Caenorhabditis elegans: one gene and its partner. The protein of the gene in region 1 interacts with the protein of each later gene in a pairwise test. Each region holds a gene or a part of one and is shown on either strand. Other genes may lie near its edges.

Region 1 (6,861 bases):
AGATTCCAACGTGAATGAGATGAAGAAGCAGTAGAGAAACGAGCGTGTTTGTCCATGCGTCCCATTCGTACAGTTTCTTTGGTTGTCTACCTAAACTCTCTTGTTTTCAAACACTATTTCACCCACCTTCTCCCGCATTTCTCTTTCACTTTCCGGGAGGAACTGTTCGTTCGTCGTGCGCCCATCGCAACCGACCTGTATCTGTATGTATCCTCTCATTTCTCTCTAATAACCTACTTCTCTTCAATCTACTTGGATACATGATTTGTTATGAAATGTTTTATCTTTTATTATTTCATGAAGTTAGAATGTTCCTTATGAAATTGAGTTTACCATCAGAAGTGGATTAGAATTTAGTCAATGGGATTTCAACTACATTTAAATCTCAGCTATGTATTAAAGATAAAATCATTTTCACAGAAATTTTCTATGAATTGTTACTGATAAACGTCTATTTGTAAATTGTCAACATGCTGTGAAATACACCTAGGACTACTAGCCTGAAATTATTCCTCAACTCCAGTGATAGGTTTCTTTGGTATATCACCCTAAAAACTAGTTACACCTGCCTCGTAGGCACGAAAGTAGGCACCCTCTATTTGCATGGAAGCCCTATTATATTATAGGTAATTTTTCAGATTCACAAGAATGACATGTAGTTCAAGTTCAATTAAAATTCCTACATAAAATTCCCTACTCCTTCTCCTACTCTTTTCATTTTTCTATTTCATCTCAATTCAATTTGAACAAACTTCAAACAATTCGTTTCACACATCACAAACATTGTAAATACACATATATCGTTTGTTGAAAAAAGTCATGTGGGTTTTTAAGGTTAAAGTTTAACCGATTTTATTACACTATCTCTCACGGTTGAAATATTCAAAATAATATTTTCTTCTAGAAAACAGCGTTTCTACATATTCTGTTAAAGCTAACGGCCTAAATTTTAAATCGACTCTATTTTTAAAAAATTGATCAGGTTACCAACTAGCGATGTTTTATATTTTGTTCAAAGGTAGGAGCTCCAAAGTTTGTCAAAAGTCAAAAAAAAAAGCTTAAAGTTTACCAAGAGCCAAGTAAAAATTTATATTATCGAAACATGGAAAAACGTATCAAAACATAGTTTTTTGTTAAGATTCTCTGCCTTGTATGTTTGTATTTGAGGCGATGATGATGGCAAGACTCGTATGTTTATTCTTTTCCTTTTCCTGCAAACTCGTCTTTTAACGGATTATTTCGGACCCATGCACCGCCCATCTTGACCGTATTAAGACAGTTTTTGTGTGAATTTTCGTTGGATCGAAACACTGTGAGTATTGTTTTTATTTTGAAATATATGGATCTTATAATCTGAATGTTCAGTTGGAATATCGCAGTGTGGCTTTTGATCTCCGCACACACTTCATCTGATTGGTATAAAAATATGTGGAACAAATTACTGATTATTTTCACAGTTTTCATTTTGAAAGAAATTCAAACAGTGAGCTTAGTCAGGTTTTGGGAAAATCGTTATCGAAAGTTGAGTTTTTCAGTATTTCTAGTTTTTTTAGTGTTTCGTTTGTGGTATATGTTCCTTCATTTCATTAGCAAAACAATAACGTTGGTCTGTATTTCAAAAATCTGTCATGTATTTCCAAAAGAATATTTAAAAACATCTCGTTTCTATTTTCAAGTGCCTCTATTTTCATTCTTGTAGTAACCTTCAAATTCCAACTAATTTTAACTGTTAATTGAAGGAAATTTCTTCAAATTGTGTTATTTCTAATTCACCCGTCTTCTTCTTTTCCTCCATCTATTCCATACGAACCGAATGAACAAATCAGTGTGATATTCCTGCGCATTCGACCGGTTTCTCACTTATTTTCTTTCTATCTTTTCTCCTATTCCATCTTCTATAATTAGTCCTTTCCGTATGTCGTCCAGTTGACCCATTTCTCCGTTTTTCATTCAGAATTCTATATGGTAGAAGTGGAAGCAAAACCGTCGAGTTTGTCAGTTGAAGAGGATGAAAATGAAAATGAAGAGGAAAAGCTTGAAGATGTGGAAAAAGAGAAATTAGTGAAACAGTTAAAGTTTGAAAAAGCAGAACGAAGACGGATTGCAGAGGAAATGGAAAAAGAGATTCGAGAAGTTGAGGCAAAATGGATGGAAAAAGTTAGAAAAGCATCTGAAGAGCGAGATGATATTGGAAAGAAAATTGATGAGTTTGAAGAGAAAATTGATAGTCTACAAATACAAGTACATAGGTTAGTTCATGATTTAAATCACTAGAAAAGCTCAAAAATGTTTATTGAAAATTAAAAAGACCTGGAATTGGTACCAAAATGTATATGATAAGTGGTAGTTAACTTCCTGAAATTTCGAAATAAAATCAATATGTCATTTTTGAGAGAATTTGTTGGTGCACTTTAAACTAGAGAATTGTCGATCTGAAACTTTTCGGGCCAGTTTTTAATCATAATGATGTTGTAAAAAATTTGAATGGCTTTAAAAATTTGAAATTCAAGTTTTTTTAAACGTTCGAAAATAATTTTCAGCAGAAGAAAACTAATAAATATTTAAAAACCATTGGAAAATGGCCCGTTATGAAAAAAAATATATTTCAGAAGTGAAACATATAAAATGGAAATTGAAGAAGCGAACAAACGGCTACGGTTACAATATGAAGCTCTCCAGAGAGATTATGAGGAAACAATGCAGGAAAGAAGTATTGTATTAGAAGAAAACTCTCGTCAAAATGAAGAGAGGGATCGACTGCAAAAAGAAATTGAAAAAATGAAAGAGGTTTGATTTTACAATGACAATCAAATTAAAAAAAAATTTCAGGATTCTGAAGAAGTTGCTGCATTAAAACAGAAACTTGAAAATACAAGAAGACTCTTGAAAGTCAATATGGAAGAAACTGCTCAGGCAAATGCTCGAAAAGAAGCTGCAATTGCAAGGCTTACAGAAGCAGAACAAAATGGAGCTAGAATTACAGAAGAAAGAGATGAAGCTTTGAGAAAATGTCAACAGACAACTGGAGATGCAATTGTGGATATTTGGAATACTCATTCTGTTCAAATTAATTTGGTAAGTTGAAAGAAAACTCATTTCAATCGTTTCGTTTCAGACAGCCAAGATAAAAATTAAAAACGAAATTAATTTCAGCCCTTCAACAAACCAAACTTGGGAATTATGCTTGGTGGAGGCCGTACGGACGATGGTTCAATTGTTCATGGTCCAATATATGTTAGACAAATTGCTCACGGTTCTCCATTTGATAATGTATTGAAAAAGCTGGATCATATAATGATGGTCAATGACATATCTGTAACAGATATGGACGAAAGAAGTGTAATGGGAATGTTATCCAACTGTCATCACATTCATCTTGTTATTAGAAGAAGATCAAATTGCAATAAAATTAGTGATGTTTGTCTGCCATTGAACTATGGTGAGTTACTTATTACATTTAAGAGTGTAGTTTTACATTTCAGGTGTAGGTCTTGAACTATCCAATGGAGTATTCATTAATTCCTGCGAACCAAACGGTGCTGCTTCTCGTAGTGGATTGGCTCCAGGGCAACGAGTTGTTCATGTTATGCACACTCCTGTTTATGATGCTAAACATGCTGAGATGCTAATTAAAAATTCTCGAGAGCCTCTAGTCATTGGAATTCTTCAATCTACTAAACGAGGTGATCATAATGGAAAGGATAAACATCGACAAACTATATTTTCGAGGGTAAACCTTCGTTATAAAATGCTAGTGAAACTTTAGTATTCTTGTTTCAGTGGTTCAGTCGAAATGGTGGATCTGATAAAGAGCGAACTGTTGTTGCAAAAGCGAATATTGATCGTTCAAATGATCAAGTTCTTCTTCGTCAGGGATCTCTGCGAATGCCACAAGCTTCTCCAGCATCAATGAGTCCCTTGGTACGGTATGGTTCTCTACGTGCTCCAACCTATTCAAGTAGCATTGATCATACAAAATTAATGCTGGATGCACTGGATAAAAGATTCAATGCAAAGTTAGTTTCCTTCAAATTTGATTACTACAAAGTTGAATGTTCAGATCCACAGCGCATTCTGAAATAAGTTCATCTTCAACAGCCGCTCCAACAGCTTTATGGAGCCCATCTTCAGTTAATGAAAAAGATCTCGTATTTGCTGGAACCAATATCGAAGGAGTTCCAGTATATGTTCCTAAGAGTACCATATTTAGCACACCAACGTCACCTGTGACGTAAGATTCTTGACATTTTTAGTCAAAAAAAAGAAGAAAACTCTGACTTTCAGAAGACTAATCCGTCAAAATAGTGAGCAAAAACGAACAATGTCTCAAATATCATCTCATCGAGGAGGATGGGATGGAAGAAGCTTTTCATCGAACACGACAACTTCAGATGCTCGTCCATATTCTATGCACTTCACACCTACATCATCAACTATAATGGAAGGAAAACCCCACAGAAGATCAGCTGTTTACAGTCCAAGTCATCCACCAGTATATCCTACAATTCGGGATGACTCTATGTCTTCTGTTATGTCTTCGAGTAACTCCATTCGACTTCCAAGCACAAGTTTTTCCAATCAGTATCCTAATAATTGTAGGTTTTCAAAAGTTAACTGCTGTAGTCTAGAAATTGTTTCAGCTACCTGCAGCTTGACTGGAGGGAGTGGAGTACCTCCACGTCATTGCATAAGTAAAGATGGAAGTGATTTTTCAATTTCAACAACTGGAAGTGCAATGCACAGTTACGCTGAGGGAAGATCCAATAAGAAATATCACTTGCCACGTGGAAATCATCACTCTGAATCTCTTCTTGTAAACCGTTCATCTCAACCGAGACTGGTCGAGGTTCCAAGAAGTGATGTAAAACTTTGTGGTGGAAATGCGATTGGTACGAGAAAGCAATTCATGTCAAAATAATCTCCGCTATATTTTAGGTATCCTCGCTGAAAAATCAATTGGTTCTGACCTTCTCGAAGGAGATCTCATTTTATCAATCGATGGAAATTGCGTTCGAAATACAACACTCGAGTGTGCAATGAATACTTTATCAGCTGATAATTCGGAGTTAACAGGTCTTCTAGTTCAAGACGGTGGAGATCGATTGAATCGTTTGAGACTTGGAGCTGACGGTGACAGTTTCTTCCTTCGTGTTAATATCGATAGATCAATGGAGAACAAAGATGAACTGGATTTAAAATGTGGTGATGTTGTTTTCGTTGACAAGACTATGTTAATGGGCAAAACTGGAAGATGGAGAGCATGGAAAGTGGACAAAGAGGGACGACAAAGAGAACATGGAGCTATTCCAAGTTCAACGACTGTTTATCAGGCAATTCGAGCTAACAGATATGCAAATCCGTTCCCGAAGAAGGCTTATGAGTGGGTTGAGAAGTTGGATACAAAAGTGAAACGACCGGTTCTTTTGTTTGGAGCAGTTGTTGAGCCTTTCCTTCAAATGCTTGTTGATGAATCTGATAAGTTTTCAATTGTTGCAAGAGAGTCTTTAACTGCAAGTTTGGATGAAGTATCGGCTTTATTGAAGGATAAAGTATTGATTGATTCGAAACAAAACGATGATGTTTATGATCTTTATCACGTCGTATCAACTGCTCATATTATGGATATCACGGCTCAAGGGTTGAGTTTTCAAACATTTTCATAGTTATGCTGAGATTTTCAGACTCCATTGTGTCCTCCAAGTTGATCAGTCTGCAATTGATCGATTGAAAAGATGTAGAATGTTCCCTATTCTTGTGAAGATTCGATTCAAGTCAGTTAAACAGTTAAAAGATGTCAATGAACATATTTGTGGAGAGAAAATCAGTTCAAAAGAAGCCAAACAGCTTATTGAAAAGGTACGGTAATTTACGAAAACATAATTAACCCGCCCGGTCTCTACCGTCGTCTCATTGCCTCTCATCCAAAAACGCAGCGGGCAATTGAAGAGGCGGATCAGAGGCTCTCATCGGAGTCTATAGAAACTTTTCACAATACTTTTTCGAAACTTTTCAAAAAATTTTCGATATACCAATAATTAATTTTCAGGATTTGAAAATAGAAAAAGATCTTGATGGATCAGTTACACTTGTAGTGCCAAGTCATAATAATGTCAGCTTCATGATGACTCACGCTGTTCTACAGGTAATTATTCTTTCAATTCGTGCCGCACTTAACTTTTTATTATTTTTCAGCTGAAAAAAATAATTGAAGACGAGCAGAAAAAAATCGTATGGGTTCAAAGAAAAGTCGATGAAGAATAAATAATATTGAGAAAGAGAACATAGAATCTCCGGTGCTTTTATTGTTTGAAAATGAAGTAATTTGAAGAAATATAAATTTGTTCATATGAAAATATTGAAAGCATTTGTAAAAATGAAAGAAAAAGGTGGTTCAGTGGAAAAGGCAATAATTAATTAGAAAAACGATGGGAATGGCAAGAAAAATCGAGGATGACGAGCGAGCGGAGTCGATGTAGAAAACATTGAACTCTCGGAGATTTGATATATTTCTGAAATAATCAAAATTATTTCTCAGTTGTCAAGAGTCACAACCTGTATAAATATAGCTCAGGTGGCCAAGAGAGTTCAGCTGATTTGAGATCAGCATTACAGTAAGATTGATCACAAATCCATTGCTCTAAGCCAGTGTATGCACGGGTGTAGCCAATCTGAAAGCAATAATTCGTAAAAATCTGAAATCTGATAATAATCGTTTAACGTCTAATTACATCATCAGTTCATTTTTTAAAGTTCTTTAAAAATTATCAGAAACATGTTCGAAATTTTATCCAAAATTTTCATAAATTCGAGTCGATAATTATTTTCTGTTTTATTTAAGGCTCAAAAGGATTTTTGAAAAAT
Region 2 (4,875 bases), 1.2 Mb from region 1:
GTATAATATATTTATAATTCCGCTCATGGCTCATTTTTGGCATAAACTTGGTAATGTAAACGTTTTGTGATTTGAAAAAACCCTATACTTCATACCACAAACTACTCTAACAAGTGTTCATACTTTTATGTCTCAAGCTCTTTCAAACAAATCGCACTTTTGTTCCAAATTTCTTCTCATTTTCGTCTCGGTCTTCTTATCATCCCATCCCCCTCCCCTTTTCGTTGATAATCAGCAACGCGCACTCGCTTTACTACAAACACGTCCAATACCTGCGCCTCCTCAAAATCATCCCTATATCATTCCGAGAGCTCCCCCGGCTCTCGGGAGCTCAAGAGGAGATGGCCATGAAGTGCGAGAAGGCTTCCCGCGCCGGGAAGAGCGAGAGAATGTCAGAGTTCGAGCGAGAGGATGTGCTCACGCCCGCGCGTGCCGTACACCGTTGGGCCTGAAGCTTTATCCGCACAGACCTCAGAACAGCAGAACCCCCACCTCCGCAACACAACACCAAGTTGATTTTTTGGAATTTTTTTTTGGAACTCAACCGTCTTAATTTATACATTAGTTCTGTATACTTCTAGACTTGATACAATGCAATTTCAACCTAAAATTGAAGATGTAATCTGAAATCACCCATCTCATATAAGAAAACAATGTTTAAAACTACTTTTTAGATTATGAACGGCAATCTACCAATGCCTAAGGTTGGCACGGTTTTTTTTGAATAAAACTTGTACTCTGCAATTCGATAAATGTATTTAGGATCATGTAAGATTGTTTTTTGCCAACATTTTAGCTCACATACGATAGATCTCTAGGAAGTTTAGTTCAGAACGTCATTCGTGGTATTTTGTGTTTATAATTATTTTTTACTTCAAAGCAAGTAGCATTACCAGATTGTTCAAATAGTTCTTTTTTGGTTGGTTTGTAGGACTTTAATACTAATGTTCAAGTTGCAAACGGAGATACAGGACTTCATGTTAAAAATCGTTAGCTTTGTTGTTATAAAACTTTATGTTATAAAACTTTCATAAGTTTATGTAGATTGGCCTACAAAAAGTATCACCTCTTTAAAAGTTTAAAAAATGTTACTGGCAGTTAGAAATAAAACTACAAAACTGGGGTAATATACGGTGTTCATTATGAAACACACTGATTATGAAAAAAAAATTGGAAAAAACTAAAATTTCAATTATTGGGTGTGGTATCGTTTTTTAAACGTAGTTTAAAACTATATGTTCCGTTAAACGATAAGAGTTCCATAAAAAAAATTAACTGTCAATCACGAATGACTCATCGAATCAGAAAACTCGTTATGCTCAGTTTCATAATTTCAATTGAATTTCTTTATTAATTTTAAATAAAACATCTTACTTTTTCAACAATCTTTTTTTTTCTGTTGTAGTCATTCACTACCATTTCCCCCGTCAAATTGCCCGACAGTCGATAAATATACAAAATCCAGCATAATCTCACTCTCCCTTCTTTTACTCTTATTTTCTATTTTGCACTATACGGAAAACAATACGATTTTTTTGTTTTCAATTTTTAATTAAAAGTAAAAATTCAAAATGTCAAAATGTTTGCAAAATTTTTCATCTATAAACGCCACGTGGTTATTGAAGATTTCGTGTAACTATTGGACTGAAACGTTTGCGCTTTAGCAAATAACTGCGTTTGAAGTGGTACACATTTGAAACAAAATGAATATTTTCGGTTGGACAATATTTTTTTAAACATGTTCTACTAAATTCTGTTTGAAACTTTGATTTATTTTTATTTGTTTCGCTCTATTTTATTGACCAGGACACAATAAAATTTCAGGTAGTCAAATCAAGATGGAACGTGTGACCGTTCGAATGGCTCGTTCGGATCGCCGAACTCCATGGGGGTTCGGTGTGACAGAAGCCCCAGATGGAGCTGTTCTTATTGTTAATGTAAGCTCTTTATTATAAATTTAGTATAAGTGTCCCCCTATTTGTCATAAAGTAGTTTGTCAGTTTGTCCAAATTGAATCACAATAAAATTTGTCGTAAAAATTAGTCTTGAGGCATATGTTTTCGTATACATTTAATACAAAAACCAAGAAAACCCATCACATTCACTTTTAGCACCTCTAGGTTCTTACCGCGATCTCAAAAATCACCGCATCACCACAACTGATTTACAATCTCATCGCCTTCCTCACTTTCTCTCGCAGTTTTATCCTCTGGACATGCCCAGGGAAAATCGGAAGAGCAACACAAAAAACATCACTTATTACAATAAGTTAGATGCTTTCAAAATTTCTCTCAAAACTCATAGACAAAATGTAGTGAGAGATTAGTCGTTAACGTAAGAAAAAATGAATTTGAAAAATTGACATGCGTTGGGGGATTTTTTAAAGCAAAGGGAGCCTTCAATTCAAACAAGTTGAATATCGAATAAAAGTTGAAAATTTCAGGTAATAGGTGGTAGCTTAGCTGATCGTGCCGGTCTTCGTAATGGAGATGTTGTTGATCGTTTGGAAGATCTTGACAATTTGGACATAAACGCTGTTGATAGACTTCTAGTTACAGCTCATGAGAAGATTGAACTTATTGTTACCAGGTAACTCATCTCGTTAAACACTTCAAATTTATCAGTATAGCACCAATTATTCAAAATTTGTGTCGACCACAATAAATAAAAATTATATATAAACAGAGCAGGTGTGTGAAAATAATAAGAAAGACATAATTTTCTCGAATATTTCCCCTAAATCGATCCCTTGAAAATGTACACAACCCTAGTTATGTAATCTGTAGCTTTGTTATCACAACGCAATTCAAAGTAGGTTACTTACCAGTTTGTATTTCCGTTTATTAACCAGTCAAAGTGTTCTCCGTTTTAATCACATCACCAATGTATCCTACCTTTCCGTTTTTAATCCGTCTGCGTCTTAGTTTATCTCCAACAGCAAGTGCTTCATGCAATAGAATATAGATATCCAAAATTTTCGAAGCGAACACCCGCCATATAAACAGGCGAACAGATAAGAATCAGGCCAATCGGTACGGGGGAAGCAGAAGGCAACATTCTTCCGAATATCTCGTTGCAGGAAGAAGGAGGGACTTAGGATTTATACATACATATTCCGTTTGATGACAAATCGTTGCAACTGTTTTGAACTGTTTTGAAACGGTCAAATGTCCCAATCAATGTTTTCTTTAGCTTTGCAACAGCTTTGCAACACAAGTTTTGCTCCTCTTATAAGCACTCTAATGTCATTAAATTTGAAGCTCGTTACCTTTTTCCCTCAAAAATCATTCTGTGTTGATAGTTTTAACAAGCTTCAGATATTTTTGCCCCTTTAAACTTATTTTTGAGCACTTTTTACATAAGCAACTGCAAAAAAAGTTGCATGGAAAAATGTTATAGAATTGCCAAAAATAACTGCCACAGCATTCAAGATTCTTTCCAAAACTGCTGTATAGTTTTAAGAAATACCAAAACAAAACAGTTTGACAATTATTATTATTTTGGCTTTTACTTTTCCCGAATTCGCATAATTTTCTCCTGAATGTTATGTTTTACTTTGAACAGTTGAATTTTAAATAAATAGGGTTTTAATGATGAGTCAGTTCATGACAAAGCAATGTACTTCTGACACTGTTCTTTTTATTTCATTCTCTGTTGTTGTATCAGAGTGTTCCAACAATTTATTCACCCTCTCGCACACAAAAACTGAGAGAATGAAATTGTTGAATACTTCCTCTCACATATTTCCCTTTTCCAGGTGTTTATCATTTTTGAACAAAAAAACTTGCAAGTTTCCTTTTTCTTTACGTTTACCCATTTTCCTATAAATATATTTCATGTTCAATTGAAATGATTTAAGATTCAAAAGTGATGGTGAGAATCACAACGACGCCAAGACCATGGTAATTTGAAATTTAATCGAAGAGATTAAATAGAAAATAAATAAATTTTGATTTCATTCATATCAAATAAGTTTAATTTCAGGCAACCATCCGGTGCAGCCACCAGAATTTGGCGTCCAGAAGTAACTGAAAATACTGGACCAGGACAGGATCAAACCCCATATCGTGTCAATTTGCAGCATAGCAGTGATGTGAGTCATTTGAGTTTTGTTTTGAAATAGGAAGCTTCACACAAAATCGTTATTTGTAATCGTTTTTAACGACAATAGCATAACATTTTTTAAAATTTCTAATAAATAGTGAATAATAAATTATTTTTAGACCCGTCCACCACAAGGTTTCAACAATTCAGCACTTCCTTTTGAAACAGATCAACGTGTGAAACATATGCAATACAATTCTCCATTGGGAATTTATTCCGATAAGTCTGCAGCTGAGCAATATGTTCAACAAACTCAAGGATTGGGAGATAATTCAGGGTGAGTGTTTTTTACATGACTAAATTTTTGAAAGAGCACTTATAGTTCAATTTGGCCAGAAAATATAGTATAAATTTAGTTCGGAAGTTGGCCTATATTTTACAAAAAAATTTCTTGAGACAAGTCATGGCCAAGCTTTGTTCACCCTTTACCAACTTCTGAACAAAATTCTTAGGTTTGGGGCAGTTGGGTCAGAAGTGGCGGTCGAATTCCGAGTCTCATAAATTAATCCAAAAATTACAAGACGTTAACGCTTTTTATCATTCAATTTCAAGAAACGAAAAACAAATTAAATGTATTTAAAATCCACGACGGCTTCTCATTTCTCTGAAAGCTGCAGTGAGGTTATCGATGAACAAAAGCTCGCGTTTCTTGCGCGGAAGGTAGTCTCCCTGAAAATTGATATTCTTTATCATAACAATTCAATCGAAATTACCGTGTCGAAACCTCCGGCGACAGCAGCTTTTCCTGCATCATCTGTAGCATCAGTTTTA

Evidence for each region. The genes of interacting proteins can lie anywhere in the genome.
Region 2: the proteins of magu-4 (region 1) and alp-1 interact in a two-hybrid assay, tested with the Caenorhabditis elegans proteins (3 studies listed by BioGRID).

What each region holds. Positions count from the first base shown.
Region 1 is NC_003282.8:10,007,854-10,014,714, forward strand, and holds magu-4 (PDZ domain-containing protein), read left to right. Parts: upstream 1-1,899; 5' UTR 1,900-1,962; coding exon 1,963-2,249; intron 2,250-2,609; coding exon 2,610-2,787; intron 2,788-2,829; coding exon 2,830-3,075; intron 3,076-3,153; coding exon 3,154-3,439; intron 3,440-3,482; coding exon 3,483-3,730; intron 3,731-3,780; coding exon 3,781-4,016; intron 4,017-4,060; coding exon 4,061-4,231; intron 4,232-4,284; coding exon 4,285-4,595; intron 4,596-4,640; coding exon 4,641-4,889; intron 4,890-4,935; coding exon 4,936-5,638; intron 5,639-5,681; coding exon 5,682-5,856; intron 5,857-6,046; coding exon 6,047-6,142; exon of another isoform or gene 6,143-6,192; coding exon 6,193-6,261; 3' UTR 6,262-6,354; downstream 6,355-6,861. Other genes in the region: F44D12.2 (DUF7622 domain-containing protein), read right to left, coding at 6,392-6,509, 6,553-6,668.
Region 2 is NC_003282.8:8,850,676-8,855,550, forward strand, and holds the start of alp-1 (PDZ and LIM domain protein Zasp), read left to right. Parts: upstream 1-1,824; 5' UTR 1,825-1,838; coding exon 1,839-1,937; intron 1,938-2,443; coding exon 2,444-2,589; intron 2,590-3,854; exon of another isoform or gene 3,855-3,870; coding exon of another isoform or gene 3,871-3,902; intron 3,903-3,984; coding exon 3,985-4,093; intron 4,094-4,223; coding exon 4,224-4,381; intron 4,382-4,620; exon of another isoform or gene 4,621-4,680; coding exon of another isoform or gene 4,681-4,773; intron 4,774-4,817; coding exon of another isoform or gene 4,818-4,875. Other genes in the region: T11B7.5 (uncharacterized protein), read right to left, coding at 4,681-4,773, 4,818-4,875.